Macaca mulatta: one gene and its partners. The protein of the gene in region 1 interacts with the protein of each later gene in a biochemical or structural test. Links are inferred from orthologs where the notes say so. Each region holds a gene or a part of one and is shown on either strand. Other genes may lie near its edges.

The links.
Region 2: the proteins of SIAH1 (region 1) and POU2AF1 form a complex in vitro, tested with the Homo sapiens proteins (2 studies listed by BioGRID). The link is inferred for Macaca mulatta from reciprocal best matches to the Homo sapiens genes SIAH1 and POU2AF1.
Region 3: the proteins of SIAH1 (region 1) and SNCAIP form a complex in vitro, tested with the Homo sapiens proteins (2 studies listed by BioGRID, with this or other methods). The link is inferred for Macaca mulatta from reciprocal best matches to the Homo sapiens genes SIAH1 and SNCAIP.
Region 4: of the proteins of SIAH1 (region 1) and HIPK2, one has a biochemical effect on the other in vitro, tested with the Homo sapiens proteins (4 studies listed by BioGRID, with this or other methods). The link is inferred for Macaca mulatta from reciprocal best matches to the Homo sapiens genes SIAH1 and HIPK2.

The regions. Positions count from the first base shown.
Region 1 is NC_133425.1:43,773,525-43,776,532, reverse strand, and holds the end of SIAH1 (E3 ubiquitin-protein ligase SIAH1), read left to right. Parts: intron 1-589; coding exon 590-1,440; coding exon of another isoform or gene 1,441-1,543; 3' UTR 1,544-2,499; downstream 2,500-3,008. Other genes in the region: LONP2 (lon protease homolog 2, peroxisomal), read right to left, coding at 1,424-1,543. UniProt on the Homo sapiens protein: E3 ubiquitin-protein ligase that mediates ubiquitination and subsequent proteasomal degradation of target proteins.
Region 2 is NC_133419.1:112,098,942-112,102,809, forward strand, and holds part of POU2AF1 (POU domain class 2-associating factor 1), read right to left. Parts: coding exon 3,851-3,868; intron 2,837-3,850; coding exon 2,794-2,836; intron 2,710-2,793; coding exon 2,444-2,709; intron 1-2,443. UniProt on the Homo sapiens protein: Transcriptional coactivator that specifically associates with either POU2F1/OCT1 or POU2F2/OCT2. It boosts the POU2F1/OCT1 mediated promoter activity and to a lesser extent, that of POU2F2/OCT2. It recognizes the POU domains of POU2F1/OCT1 and POU2F2/OCT2.
Region 3 is NC_133411.1:131,301,016-131,305,615, reverse strand, and holds the start of SNCAIP (synphilin-1), read right to left. Parts: upstream 2,815-4,600; 5' UTR 2,547-2,814; intron 2,529-2,546; exon of another isoform or gene 2,380-2,528; intron 2,295-2,379; exon of another isoform or gene 1,893-2,294; intron 1-1,892. UniProt on the Homo sapiens protein: Isoform 2 inhibits the ubiquitin ligase activity of SIAH1 and inhibits proteasomal degradation of target proteins. Isoform 2 inhibits autoubiquitination and proteasomal degradation of SIAH1, and thereby increases cellular levels of SIAH.
Region 4 is NC_133408.1:179,551,829-179,555,696, forward strand, and holds part of HIPK2 (homeodomain-interacting protein kinase 2), read right to left. Parts: intron 1,723-3,868; coding exon 639-1,722; intron 1-638.

The DNA of each region.
Region 1 (3,008 bases):
TACGTAAATAGTTGTTATAGACTGTATTTTAAAAATTTTGTATTATTTGTAAATTTTTCTGAATATTTTCAATCCATGGCTGTGGTGAAGTCCTTGGATGCAGACCGTGTGAATACAGAGTGCCGATTTTATCCAGGACTTCACCTGTAACTCCCTATACCTATCAATAGCTGACTCCAAATTAGAAAGAAATAAGAGTAAGGGAGTCTCAGGGAGAGAGTCCTAGCAAAACGGATTCGATTAAACTTCAGTTCCTTGTATAGTTTCTCTAGTTGTTTATGGTCCATCTTCTATTTTAGCATTTATTATTCCATGTAGTCTATCCAAAGACGATTAAGGGAGTTCCAAATGTTTTCCGGAATATTTTGAAAAGAGAGCTTATCCAGTGTACAGATCCTAATAAAGTGCACATTCAGTGTAATTTTATTTTTTAGTATGTTACTTTTTAAATTCTATTTATTTTTCTTTCTCTTTTGCTCAGTAAATTTTGCATGAAACTTTAAAAGTACTTCTGGCATGTAAACATTATTTGTAAAATAAGTCATGGTTATAATTATTTTTCTCCTGCCTCCTTATGTATTTATTTCAGAAATGAGCCGTCAGACTGCTACAGCATTACCTACTGGTACCTCGAAGTGTCCACCATCCCAGAGGGTACCTGCCCTGACTGGCACAACTGCATCCAACAATGACTTGGCGAGTCTTTTTGAGTGTCCAGTCTGCTTTGACTATGTGTTACCACCCATTCTTCAATGTCAGAGTGGCCATCTTGTTTGTAGCAACTGTCGCCCAAAGCTCACATGTTGTCCAACTTGCCGGGGCCCTTTGGGATCCATTCGCAACTTGGCTATGGAGAAAGTGGCTAATTCAGTACTTTTCCCCTGTAAATATGCCTCTTCTGGATGTGAAATAACTCTGCCACACACAGAAAAAGCAGACCACGAAGAGCTCTGTGAGTTTAGGCCTTATTCCTGTCCGTGCCCTGGTGCTTCCTGTAAATGGCAAGGCTCTTTGGATGCTGTAATGCCCCATCTGATGCATCAGCATAAGTCCATTACAACCCTACAGGGAGAGGATATAGTTTTCCTTGCTACAGACATTAATCTTCCTGGTGCTGTTGACTGGGTGATGATGCAGTCCTGTTTTGGCTTTCACTTCATGTTAGTCTTGGAGAAACAGGAAAAATACGATGGTCACCAGCAGTTCTTTGCAATTGTACAGCTGATAGGAACACGCAAGCAAGCTGAAAATTTTGCTTACCGACTTGAGCTAAATGGTCACAGGCGACGATTGACTTGGGAAGCGACTCCTCGATCTATTCATGAAGGAATTGCAACAGCCATTATGAATAGCGACTGCCTAGTCTTTGACACCAGCATTGCACAGCTTTTTGCAGAAAATGGCAATTTAGGCATCAATGTAACTATTTCCATGTGTTGAAATGGCAATCAAACATTTTCTGGCCAGTGTTTAAAACTTCAGTTTCACAGAAAATAAGGCACCCATCTGCCTGCCAACCTAAAATTCTTTTGGTAGGTGGAAGCTAGACACATGAAGGTAAATGAAAGGAAAGGCTGTTAAATACAGGAAACAGTTGCATGTAGTAACACTAATATATTTAAAAATAAGTCAACAGTAAACCACTGAAAAAATATATGTATATACACCCAAGATGGGCATCTTTTGTATTAAGAAAGGAAGCATTGTAAAATAATTCTGAGTTTTGTGTTTGTTGTAGATTGATTGTATTGTTGAAAAATAGTTTTTTTGTTTTGTTTTTGCGTGGGAGTGTGTGCGTGCGTGGGTGTGTGCGTGTTTGGGTTTTTCTCCTTTAACTGACAAGCCATCTTGAGTGGTCATGGGCCACTGCTTTTCCCCTTTGTGAGTCAATACATAGTGCTGCTGTGTGCTTTTTTGTGTGTGTATTTGCTAATTTTTATTAATTTTAGTTTTTCATTAAATAAATTTGACTTTCCTTTCTGTAATTCAGGTTTTTCTTCACTTTTTTTGTACCATTTTAAAGTTAGTGTCTTTTGATATGCATACTTGTTATGGTAAAAGTTTGTAACATGTGTTCAATATTTTCTTTTCCCCCATTAATCAGTTCATTAGAAATATTTTAAAATCAGCTACTTTGTGAAGCTATGAGTTCCAGAAAGTAAAGGTGACATCGGAAAAATGATCAAAAGCTATTTAAAGCATCTGTAAGATGGTCTCTCTCTTTCTCTCTTCTACGGATGAGTCACACCTTTGAGCTTAATCTTTGAAAGGTTAGAGAATAAATTGATTTTTATAAGTACTGCAAATCAGGCTTTTGTTTCCTTTTTCAAATATCTTGGATAAATCACATGTTTAAAATTTGTTCTTGTATTTATTGGTTTTGCAAAAGAAGGCATCGTCATGCACAGTATTTGTAATTAAAAGCAAATCATTTGTTTAAAAAGGCAGTTTGCAAAAAAATGTTTTTGGTCTTTTATAATTCTCATTAAAAGAATTTCTGGCAAATTAAAAAAATCTTACTGTGTCTGCTTTAGCTCTAAGTTTGATAAAATCCAAAGTTATTTTCCTGTTTCATTCCGTACTTTAATTATATAGCAGAAAGCTGTGTGTTGTCATTTTTAAGTGTGGTAGAGTTATACTCTAAATCACAGCAAATAACTGGGTATATGGCTTCTGGATTACAGTCTTTCCCATGCTCTGCCCCTCTTGCCCACATTTTGATTCTTACAACTGTCAGGAGAATGACTAAAATGCTGACCACTTTTCACCTCTTTAAAAAAGCACAATGAAATAATAAATTTACTATTTCATAGCCTAGTGGTTAAGAGCCTTGGTTCTGCAGCCAGACTTCAGGCACCTAAGTGCCAGTCTCGGCTCTACCCCACTAACCAGCTGTGTGACCTTGGGCCCCAGTTTCCTAATGTGTAAAGTGGGGTTAAATTATGGTAGCTACTTAAAAAGTTTTAATGGGGTACAGGTATGTTACCTGAAACAGTGCTTTGTTCATA
Region 2 (3,868 bases), on another chromosome or scaffold:
GCACCTTAAAATCTGTGAAAATACATGTTAAACCATAGCCTGGCAGCTGTATCTGGAAGGTGGCCACTACCCTGCCCAGACACAAAGACAGTCCAGGCTCCACACAACAGCTTTGGAGGTCCCCATGAGCCAACACAGTTCTGTCGCCTCTAGTAATGGCCAGCATGGGGAAGCCTGGCCATCCCTAGCTGGGGGAAGCACTCACTGCTTTGTCAGCAAACTTGGCCTTGCTTCCTGCTGCTGCCTGGTGCCTTCCACATCCTCCTCCTCCTCTGTCTCTGAGCTGATCTCCATCGTTGTCCCACTTACGGGCACCCACCATGACCCTCCAAGGGTTAGAGTCCTTCTCCTGCCTGCTCTACGAGTCATACCTCTCACCTGCACGGGCGACTTCCCTCACAAACCTCAGGTCAGGCCTGCAACAGAGGCGGGGCCTGGATTCTTAACTTCCCTTTCACACTTGAGGAAAGCAGATAGAAGAGGATGCTCTTTGCATGGATTCATGAGAGAGATGCCAAAATCTCTCCCTACCATCCCCGTCTCTCCTGTCACATATTGCTCCTATTGTCAGTGTGTCTTGACAGCAAACTGTTAGAATCATTTAGGGCAAGGCTTTTCTTAACCTCCTGCAGATCTTGTTACAATACAGCTTCTGGCACAAGAAGTCTGGGATTTTGCACATCTAATCAGATCTCAGGGGACTCCAATGTGGCCAGTCCAGGGACCAGAGTTTGAGTAGCAAGATTTTAGGGTGTTTTTGCATAGAATGATAGAGCTGGAAATGGTCTCAGAGGCCTTCCAGCCTTCCAAAATCCGGACTGAGGTGTAAGCCAGTGGTCCCTATCCCAGTGTCCTGAAACCAGACAGAATCCGGGAAAGCCTCATTATTCCCAGCTTTCAAAAATCCAGATGGAAATTCTACATTTCCCAGTCATACACCTGTACAAATCTATTGCAACTATAGGTTTATTTGCTGGGGAATAGAATTACATCCACTCAGCACCACAGCAGGTCTTATCTCTGCTGATCAGGAGTGTGGACTTATAGCTCTAGACAGCTTTGATGAGTTAATTCACAAAATGGCAAAACAAATAAATTAATTCTTAATAAATACCGTTTGTTTGATATACAGAACTTTTCAAAGCAAAACGTGGGAATGATGAAAAGGGATAAACAATGAAAGGAATCCTTGGTAATGAAATGGCTGGAAACCATGAGTCCTCCACCCACCACCCTCTCCCCAGGCTCCCTGACATGGAAATGAGGTGCCTGGGAGAGGGAGTTGGATTAACTCCTTCTTATCTATCATCATCCAGCCTCCAAAATTGGTTTGCTGGGTAGCAGGTGGACCTGGGATGGAAGGGCTCCTGCAGGCCTTTCATAGAAGGTGCTTGGAGGCAGGGGCAGGTGCATCAGGATGACACTGGACCCTGGAGGGAAATGGAGGAGACAAGGTGGACCAAAGCAAGCTCCACCATCGAAGGTGGGCTCTGGGACTGCTGAAGGCCAAGCTCTACTTCTCACGGTTTCCCTGGACTGGAGCTGAATACAGCTGTAACCACAGGTCTTTTTGCCCTTGAACACTTGCAAAATTCCCATTCCTTTAGTCAAATAGGCACCATTAATATAAATCTATTTCCTCTCCTTCCTTCACTCCCGGGGGAAGAGGCTCTTCCTTTCCCATCAGGCCCTTAGTTAATGTTAGCAGATTTTGATATGATGATAATAACTAATACATATTAGTGATTTCTGTATGCCAGACACTGCTAAGCCCTCCACATGTATTATTTCATTTGATCCTGACAATGACCCTTTTCTTGGTATTCCCATTTTACAGATGAAGACACTGAGGTTCAGAGAGTTTTAAGTCACTAAACCCAGAGTCACATAGCTAATAAGTGAAGGGGCAGGGATTTGAACACAGGCAATCTGACAATAGAGACAGAACTTTAAAAAATCACCCCACAAGTGGGTCTGACGCCATCAAAAATATCACCTGTTGTTCAGCCTAGAAATCTTCTGTTAAGTCCCATTATTAAGTGAACGATCACTCCCTAAGTTATCTGAATAGAAAGGAAAGCCTGGTTCCAACACAAGACCCCATGTAGATCTCACATGGTACCCCATTCACTAAAAACTTCAACTCAACACCAAGACTCACTGCTTGCAGGGAAGCTGGGGAGATTTAGAACAGGGAATCAGAGAAGACCTCCCCAGTCCTGAGGAGCAGAAAGGATGACAAGAGAGGCTGTGAGACATCTTTGTGAAAGATATTTCAGCAAATGAGAATCAGAGCAGGCCTCCGTGGAGGACAAGGCAAGCTTTGATGACCTGATTATCCTGAGAATCAATAGCAAGGAAGATCAGGGTTGGCAACTCAGCGCTGGTTCTAAAAGGGTGCACTCAGCATGGGCGGGTGCAGCTCTGCCTTTGTGTGACGTACCGTGACATTGGTGATGAGTGGCGGAGAGGCATAGGTCAACACTGAGGAGGGCCCCACCACCGTGTAGCTGGGGCACACGGGCTGCACATACATGTCAGCTGAGTAGGGACAGCTGACGGCTTCATGGGGCACATACTCGGTGTAAGGTGTCCATGGGGCCAGGGGCTGGAGGGTGGCCGGAGTGGGCTGGGAGAGCCAGCCGGCACACAGAGCACCCTCCTCCGTCACTGCAGATACAGAGCCTTCCATGTCCAGGCAGGAAGGACCTGTGGGAAGAAGGACATTTCAGAACTGCAGATGCCACCCAGATGAGAGGCCTGGGGGCCACCAGGGCTACGGGGCACTCTTACCCACTGTGGTGTAGGTCGCCAGGGGCTGATGGGGCAGCACCACCTAGAGGGGAGAGGAGACCAGGGTCAGTGTTTAGCCATTGCCAACTGGCCCTGTGCAGGGAACTTGTCCAGAGGGCCTCGGGGCAGGAGAGTAGAAGATAGGAAACTCTCTGGTTAGAACAAAACACCCCACCCGGTATCCCAACCATCACCACCTACACTTGAGGGATTTGTGTTTCCATTTAGCAGGAAGTCTGTGTGCTCAGGGAGCTGGTGTCTTCCTCTTCTCAGGGTGAGCCCCCAACTCACACCAGGGTATATGAGTCATTCGCTCACTCAGGCCTTGACAGTAGCTGTGTTCAGTGGGCCAACTGAGCCAGTCCCAATCCCTCATCCCGGTTGCTCCACCCTGGCTCTATGCCTGGCAGCCTCCACCATGCGACCTGCACTCCTTCCTGCCTGATCCCCTTGGTCACCTCCCAACCCGTCTGCCTGCACACACACGCACACACTCTCACACACACACACACAAACACCACTCTCACATGCACACACTCTTACACTCTCTCTCACACACACTCACACACACTCTCACACACACTCTCACACACACTGTCACACACATTCACACATACACTCTCTCACACATACTCTCCTACACTCTCACACACTCCCTCATACACACATACTCTCTCACACACGCTGACACGCACACACACACACATTCTCTCTCACACTCACACACACTACTCTGTCACACTCACACACACTCTCACACACGCTCACACATACGCTCTCTCACACATACTCTCCTACACACTCTCTCACACACTCCCTCATACACACATACACTCTCACACACTCTGACACACACACACACATTCTCTCTCACACTCACACACACTACTCTGTCACACTCATACACACACACTCTCACACACTGTCACACATACGCACTCACACACTCTCTCACACACCCACACACTCCCTCACACACACATACACTCTCACACTATCTCTAACACACACATTCTGTCTCACACACACACCCTGTCACACACACACACACTCTCACCGCCGTAGGTGCAGGCGC
Region 3 (4,600 bases), on another chromosome or scaffold:
AGCACACACAGTTTCTTGGCTTGCATTTCCACTGTACACCTGCACCAGAACAACTGTCTGGAATTAGCAAAGTTGTGACAAAGTAGACAGAGAAATGCATTTGCTTTAGTCACTTCCTTTTGGATATCAACAAATGGTAACAGTCAAATTCATGAATGCAGCATCATTTCAAATCTACTATCTGTAACCTTTCTTCATGAAACGCTTGCTATGGAGAAAATGAAATTTATACTCAAAATTATACCCCTTCTTTTCAAAATCCCATTCTGTATTTTATTCTAACTGAGATGTCCAAAAGATTCTTAAGAGAAGCACTATCTTCTACTTTCTGATTCCAGACCTGTTAATGCATACATATTTAGTTATGGGTAATCCTCAGTTAATACTCCCTTTCTAGAGAGACTTCCGCGATCAGTACCAAAATACAGCACCTTTCAAATAGTCTTGAGGACTCCTTAAAGGTGTCTCCTTGTACTCTAACCATGCTGAATGTAATTTAACATTGAGATGCATTAGAAACAGCCAACAGACTTTCTCTCCCAGATGTGTACACATTAGCATACTGCTTTCCTACACCTTGTTCTTTGCTTTTTAAATTTTCAATATGTACAAATGAAATACAGATTTCAACCCATTCCCAATTGAGATGTCTGCTCCATAAAAGAAAACTAGGTTTTTCCCTTCCTGCAGATTCAGCAACGAAAGTAGTGCTTGAAAATTACGTGTTTAGAGTGACACCTTGGAGAACTGACATACTTTGCACACATGTAATCCTCATAAACCTCCCCAGACAGCCCTTATTTCATTTTGCAAACTGCACCCTGGCCAGGCTCCACGGCACGTGGTGTGTGGCGAGACTGTCCTGCAGCAGTTCTCTCTTCCTCTGGGCTCTTTGATGGGCACTTGTCAGTAACAGCCAAGAGGAATCGGACCCTGCCTCCAGCAAGTGAAAAAGGGGCACCGACAGTAATGCTTCCTTAATTAACTTTCCCAAGGAAAGCAACGTTACCACAGGAAAAAACAACACGTTTCCCCCCTCCTAGAGGTCCATTGAAAATGAGCAACAATGCTGTTGCCTTTTTGTTTCCTAAGACTTTCTTCGCTGCAAGCAGTAGCGTGTTCCTCAAAGAATGCTAGTATTTCCTGTGGAAACTGTATGGCTGCCAGTAATGGCTCATAATTTTCCCTCTTTTCTTTTCGTAAAAATGAAATAAACAAAATGTGGCCTTTGACAATAGCCAAAATTGGGTTCACCCCACTTACCACCTGCAGATGAAAGTCATCGCCAAGAGAGAAGGCCAAGAGAGAAACAGTCCCCGCTGAAATTGACGCGGACCAGCCTGGGACGCAGGACAGCATTAGAGGGAGGCTGACAGAGCCCGGGCTGGACAGGGCAGTCGGGGAGCCCGTGCTGATGAGCGAGGGGCGGCAGCAACACCAGACGTCCCTCTTCTACAGCTATTGCTACCGTTGTTAGTACCGTCGCTATTACTATTACTTCGCCCCTCCTTACCTCAGCTCTTCCGAGCCGCGGCACTGCCCATCCCTGCCTGCGATACGATCCCGGGTGGCAGCAAGAATAAGAACCACATGAGGCAGGCAAATGAAAAGAACAATCCTTTGGAAACCGAGGCGGGGGTTGTTTCCCCCTTTCCCCAGTAAAACAGCCGCTGCCGCCACCACTGTTACTATAGAGACCTCCCCCCAAACCCTTTCTGCAGAGACGCCTCTGCTGTCCCAAGCAGCCGAGACTCGCGGCACAAAGGGGGCCCCGGGCTTGGGGAGCACGGGGCGACACCCGCCAGGGTCGCCTGGTGCAAACTTGGAAAGGCTGAGCCGCCAGCTCCTCGCCCCCCGCCTCCCCGCGGGGTCCGTTTGGGACCTGGACTCACCCGGGGCGCCACGCGCGCCGGCGGCTCAGGAGCGCGAAGGGACTGACGGACCGACGGACGGACTGCGGCGGCGGGAGCAGAACAGCCTCGGCGGGAGCAGGCGAGCGGCGGAGGCGCTGCCGCGGCCCCGCTACGTCACAATGCGGCCCGGCCGCGGGCGCAGCTCCCTGGGCCCCCCAACGGGCGCGCGCGGGCGGGGGCAGCCTGGGCGGCCGCCGGCCGGAACCGGCGCTGGGGTACGCGGAACGCAGCGCGGGCGCCCGGCCGGGGACGGGGGCGCGGCCACCACTGCCACTGCCGAGGCTGCTGGGGCTGCCGCGCCCTCAGGCTGCGCTGCGCCCCTGCGGCCGCCCCCCGGCCAGCGAGCCCAGCTCAGCCTGACTGACAGTGACCCTCCCCGCTGGGCCCCCGGCCCGGCCCACGCCCCTCCCTCGCCGCTTCCTCGCCCGGGATCCCCCGGCCTGCCCGCCGGCTCCTGTTCACGAACCTGCTCTTTCTTTACCTTTCGCTCTTTTTACCTCGACTGCCGTTGCTTTTCCCCAACTGGGGCTCTCCTCTCCTCCCCGCCTACTTTTTGTCCCCGCTTCCCACTTTTCTCCTCCTGCCCCCCCTTCCTTGCTTCGCGGCCTCTCCCCCTGGAAATCGCCCCCTCACCGTGATCCAAGCGTCAACCGCTGCCATCTCATTGGTCCCCAGACCATTCCAGGGTTCCAGCATAAACCGGGAGAAGAGACTCAGGAAGGCGGGGAACGGAAGGTGGGCATGGCCCTGGGAAACTCGTGTCTGAGAAGCCTTTTGGCAGAGTATTTTGCGTTGGCACGGAGTCGTCACCCCCACCCCTCTCCCCGAAGCTCGCCCACCCCTGAGGACGTGGCCAAGGAGAGGAGGGCACGGGTGGCTTTGCCTGCCTGGAATGTTCTGTGCTCAAGTGTGGGTGGATGGAGAAGATCTTGGGCTGAAATAAAGACTTTTTAATTCAACGACGTTTCAATGTACCAATGGCCCTACAGTAATATTAACTTTACTTTTATTGTATCTTAATTGTTGAGGGATTGGGGGTGGGAGGCTGCTGGATGAGGAGTCAGCAACGCCTGCAGTGGTGACTACTTCTTTCCTTATTTCCGAAATGAAATCAGGGGTTGTGGAAGCATTTATGGTAACCTTGGCTCACGACTGTCTTGCTGTTGCCCTCTGGAAAGCTTTAAATGATCTTTGAGAAATCTCTTTCCCAGGCGAGATGACTCGGAGAAGTTCACTCAGCAAAGCCATTGAGGACCACACTCTTGTTCCAGGGTATGACTGCTTGCCTGATGCTGCCCCAGAGAAAAGCGTGAGGAAGTAAGTCTTGGTCAGTTTAGAGGCATCTTCATTCCCTTGCCAGTTCCAGAGGACAAGAGCAGTGCCAAGATCCTGGGACACCCGGCACTATCTGGGTAGTAGCAATGGGGATGTGTGATCTTGTTACAACAAAAAAGGAAGGCTCTGGTTGTTTAAAGCTGGGGTTTCCTGAATAACTAGCCTAAGACTGCCTTCAGTCTTTGTGGAGTCCACAGGCTGCGCTGTACTAGGAGGGCATAGGCAGAGTAATGCTTGCCCTGGACCTGTTTGGACCAGGACCATCGTCACTGAAATGAGGACTACCTTGAATGCCAGCGGAAGACATTTCACATGTGTCTAATTCCATTTCCTACTGAAACCTAAATGTCTTTCTTGGCTGTTGACATAAACAGCCAAGATCATGTCCTGTGCTGTTGTAATTTGTTTATTGTAATTTATCGTGTGTAAGACTTAAGTACATACATGGAAAGTGGCTTCACAATTTTAAAAATACACATTATCCCCCAGTAGAAAATATAAAATTGGATGACATCATGTGGCACTAAAAATACTTGAAAATATTGGGTTTGATTTGTTCACATCTGGTTAAAATAAAACTGCCTCTTTTTTTTTTTTTTTCCTAGTGTAAATTTTGAGAAAAGCACATCTTGCTTTCATCCAGTAGATATGGATGGGATTGGTGTCACCCTTGACATGATCTACAGAGAACATACTTTATTTCCATTCTCTTAAATATTTTGACACCCTGTTTTTGAAAATCATTTTAATTTATTGAAGGATTCATTTACTGAAGAATTATAAATGGTCATCTCCTTCCAACTGTCCTAAATATTCATTAGCTCTGGTCGAGCCAGGTGTTAATTCAGTGTAAATGATTCAACAAGAAGGGGCCTGATACTGCTGTATGTACAGAAAGTGGGTTGTCCTGGGAAATAAATAAAGTGTTTTTTGTTGTTGTTGTTGTTGTTTTTTTTTTTTTTTTTTTTTTTTTTTTTTTTTGCATAGCCAAGGGAATAGCATGCCACAGTGTAAAAGAGCAATCTTTTGAGTTGTTGTTTCGGATATTTTCCTCTATTTTTTATAGTTCTTTTGTTATTTTTTTTGGTTTCTAACATGTTTTTGATTACATATTTAGCATTGTTTCCATGTGATTGTTTTTACAGTGTGATTTAAATCTAGGCTTATATACACTTTCCCACATAGGCTGTGTGTTTGCTTTCCTTGGACTGTTTATTGGTTTGCTTCTCCTGTACATACCCTTGCCAAATTCTAACTACAAATTGATATACCAAAGTGTGGAAGTAGTCCTTATGTTGCTTCTTACTGACAACCAGTTTCTGGCATTCAGTTTTCTAATCAAGCAGCTGCCT
Region 4 (3,868 bases), on another chromosome or scaffold:
AGTCACCTCACCACCGGAGCCAGCCAGCTGGCCCCAGACTAGTCTCTCCCCTCCTCCAGCCCTTCTGCACATGGATAGACAAGGAACCTTCTCAGAACATCCTTTTCACCCCATTACCTTATGTTGTTCAAGGTTTCCAGGACTTGCTCTGGGTTTGAGGACACAGTTGAAATTCCTTGATCTGACATTTAAGACCCCCAGTGACCTGGTTCCAACCCGTCCTTTCACTTACATCTCCCACCACTCACAAACTGTTCTGGCCAGGCGGGTGTCCTTCTTGTCTCCTGTAAATTCCTACTAGTGTGACTGTGGACTGTGGATGGCACGTCCCTCTCTCTCCACCACCTGCCTGGATCCTACCCATCTGGGAGGACGGAACTCCTCTGCTTCGCCTCTGCTCTGCACCCCAGGTCCCAGGGAGCCCTTCCAAAACTGAATGCCTATGCCACGGATCTTACCTGGCTCCGTTCTAATGTGACTTCTAATTGACATCGCAATGTGCACATGTCCTAATTTCCTAAGTACATTAAGATCACTTGAAGGTAAGAACTGTAGACATATAATTTTATCTCACCACAGTGACTAAGGCTGCACATTTTCTGTGAGTGCCACTCCTGTCTCCGTGTGGACAGTCTTACCTGTAATATCTAGACTGCAAGTAGGTGGAGCACACAGCCTTGGACACGTGGCTGGCTGAACCAAAGTCGATGACCTTGACTCTGTATGGTTGTCTAGATGGATCCACCAGCATGATGTTTTCTGGTTTGAGGTCAGCATGGATAAGACCTAGGCTTTTGAGTTTCATCAGGGCTGTGGCTACCTGCTGGAGAACTGGGCGAATGTATTTGAGGGGCAAGGGGCTAAACTTGTTTTGCTTCAGAAAGTCATAGAGGTTCTGCTCCAACATCTCGAAGACCAAGCACGTGTGGTTCTTGTGCTGAAAGCATTCGTAGGCCCGGACGAAGTTATAGTCATCGGCACTCTCCGTGCTCAACCGGGCCAGGATGCTCACTTCAATCTGACCTTGTCGGGCATAGGACGGGTGGTTCTTCAGGATCTTGATGGCTACAATCTCATTGGTGCCCCGTTTCCAGCACTTGACCACTTGCCCAAATGTCCCTCGGCCCAAGAACTCTAAGACCTCGTAAGTGTTGGTCATGGAGCACAGCACCTCATGCTGCACCAGCTGATAGTCGCCCTCGCTGTTGGAGCCACTGTTTTTGGAGGTGGCAGTCGACGTGGTGGCAGTGGCGACAGTGGCCCCGCTGGCATTATTCTGAATCATGGGTGGGTGCTCCTCGATGATCTGCACGCTGCTTGTGTTCTCGATCTCCTCACTCTTACGCTTGAGGCCACATTTTTGGTAGGTATCAAGGAGGCTCACAGTGCTTCGACGCATTAGGTTGTGTGGTCCGCCGAGGACTTGCCCGGTGACAGAAGTGCTGCTTGCTGAGGTGACCACGATGTGCCCGGTGCTTCCTGGGAAGATGATGGTCTGCTCGTAAGGTAGGCTTGGGTTTGGGACCGGCAAGGAGGTGCTGACGGTTGTGGTGGCTGGCTGCGACGGGGGAATGTTCTTGCTCTGGCTATACACTTTGCTGTGGGAGCCGTACCCAGTCATGTCCCAGTTGGAACTCGGCTCTATTTTCAGTTTCTTCACACTACAGAAGGCACTTGATTGAAGGGTGTGAGGGGAGAAAACTTGCACATGTGAGGCCATACCTACAAGGAAAGGAAAACGAAAAGTAAGTATCGGATTCAGCTTGGTATAAGTAAACTCAACAGATCCCCTTCAGTTCTCATCTTGGTTTGGGCCACACAGAATGTTTCCTTCCCACTTGAAAACAAGGTTGAAAAAGTCAATCTATTCCACCCAGAAGCACGTTCTGGTCACTGAGTTTATGGAACCAAGTGGTTCCAGGGTGCCACCTGCCACCATTAGGTGCCAGCAACACAGTTGAGACTCAGAAACAGAATTCCAATATCAGGACATAAGTCATCATTTTTTAAAATAAACATTATTTGTGACAGAAATGGATTCTTCTTCAGTTCTCCCTGGGTTGCTTCCTACTGAAACTCAGGAGGCTATGCTAACTGTCACATACTTTGTTGCCCACATAATCAGCTCAGCCTTGTGGACAGACCCTGTCAGGTTCACTGGTTTGAGGAAACATCTTCCCAAACAGGCCCCAACACCAGGCCACTCAGGATCTTCTGGATCCTGGATGAACCCTAATTCTAATTACCACCTGGCATCTTTGTCACCGTAAATGAATTCGGTAGGGTTGAGTGGATCAGCAGTTGGTCTGATATTTTTCATTTCAACAGCGTAAAACATTTTATTAGCCTTACTGGTGGGGACTGGGTAGCACAATTTGTGGCACAGTTCACTCACTTTTCCTGCTAAATTCATATATCAATACATTTCTCTAGAAAGTACTATTTTTTGTTGTTGTTGATGTTGTTGTTTTTTGAGACTGAGTCTCGCTCTTGTCATCTAGGCTGCAGTGCAAGGGCACGATCTCGGCTCACTGCCACCTCCGCCTCCCAGGTTTCAAGTCATTCTCCTGCCTCAGACTCCCAAGGCTGGGATTATAGGCTCGTGCCACCACACCCGACCAATTTTTGAATTTTTAGTAGGGATGGGGTTTCACCATGTTGGCCAGGCTGGTCTCAAACTCCTGACCTCAGGTGATCCACCTGCCTCAGCCTCCCAAAGTGCTGGGATTACAGACGTGAGCCATCATGTCTGACCAAAAGTACTATTATTTCATACCAACATCTCATCCACAATTTAGATAAACTTAGAAACCTATAAGACCATTATTCTGGAACACTTGTATAAATTATGGTGACACTGAAACAAAAATTCATAGAAAATGTATTAAGCAAAAATAATAAGGTAATGAAGAAGGATAACTCCTTAAAAGTTAAAAGAGTAACAAACATTGCCCATCTTCTAAGCCACAGTCAACAAACATTTCTCACAGAAGCCACAAGGAAGTGGAGCGTCTGCAAGCCCTGCTGGTGGTTGGCTAACCTAGTGTTCCTGTCTCTCTGAGCCCCTGGCATTACCTAGAGTGGTTATTTAACATGCTTTCCACTCCATCGACCATCACCCTAGCCCGCATTCTCTCTCAGTAATGACCCAACTTCCACTTTGTCCAGAAGCCTGAGGTCAGCCTTACTTTCCTCCTTTATTTCCTTCTTCATTTCAGAACATTCCTGAATCTGCATCATCCTCCTTCATTCCTTCTCTCCAGTCTGAGAGAAAGAGGTGTTGCTTTTTTCCAATACTAAAAAAGTTCCCGATTCTCATGATCCGTATTTGTCCCATTTTCTCTTGAACTTGCTTCCACCACTGTTCTTTCTCTCGTAGCTTTCTACTTCTCCCTGCACTTAATTGGATCCAAGTACTCAGTAGGAACTTAATATGGCTGGCCAAATGAATCAATCACCTCATCTTTTTCTTCTGCCTTCATGCGTGTGCACACACAAAAGCCCAATGTGGAAGGCAAAAGGAGTAACAGCCGCATTCCCCCCTCTTAATTCTTTCCCTCCTCTCACCTGTGATCAATGGTTTATGCTCCCTTTTCTTCAATGCCCACATCTTAATCCATCTCCCCCCCACTCGTTAATGCACTATAGGCTCGTGTTCTTGAAGGTAAATGACTTCCTAATTGCCTAATCCAATGGCCTTGTTTCAGCCCATTCTTCTTAACCTCTGCAACATCTGATACTGCTGACCACAACTTCCTTCTTGATGCTGTTATCTGGACTTCAGTGAATCTGTAACCTCCCCCTCCCGTGTCTGATTGCACATTGTGTGCTCAGGTGGTTCCTCTTTCTCCATTACTATTATTTTTTT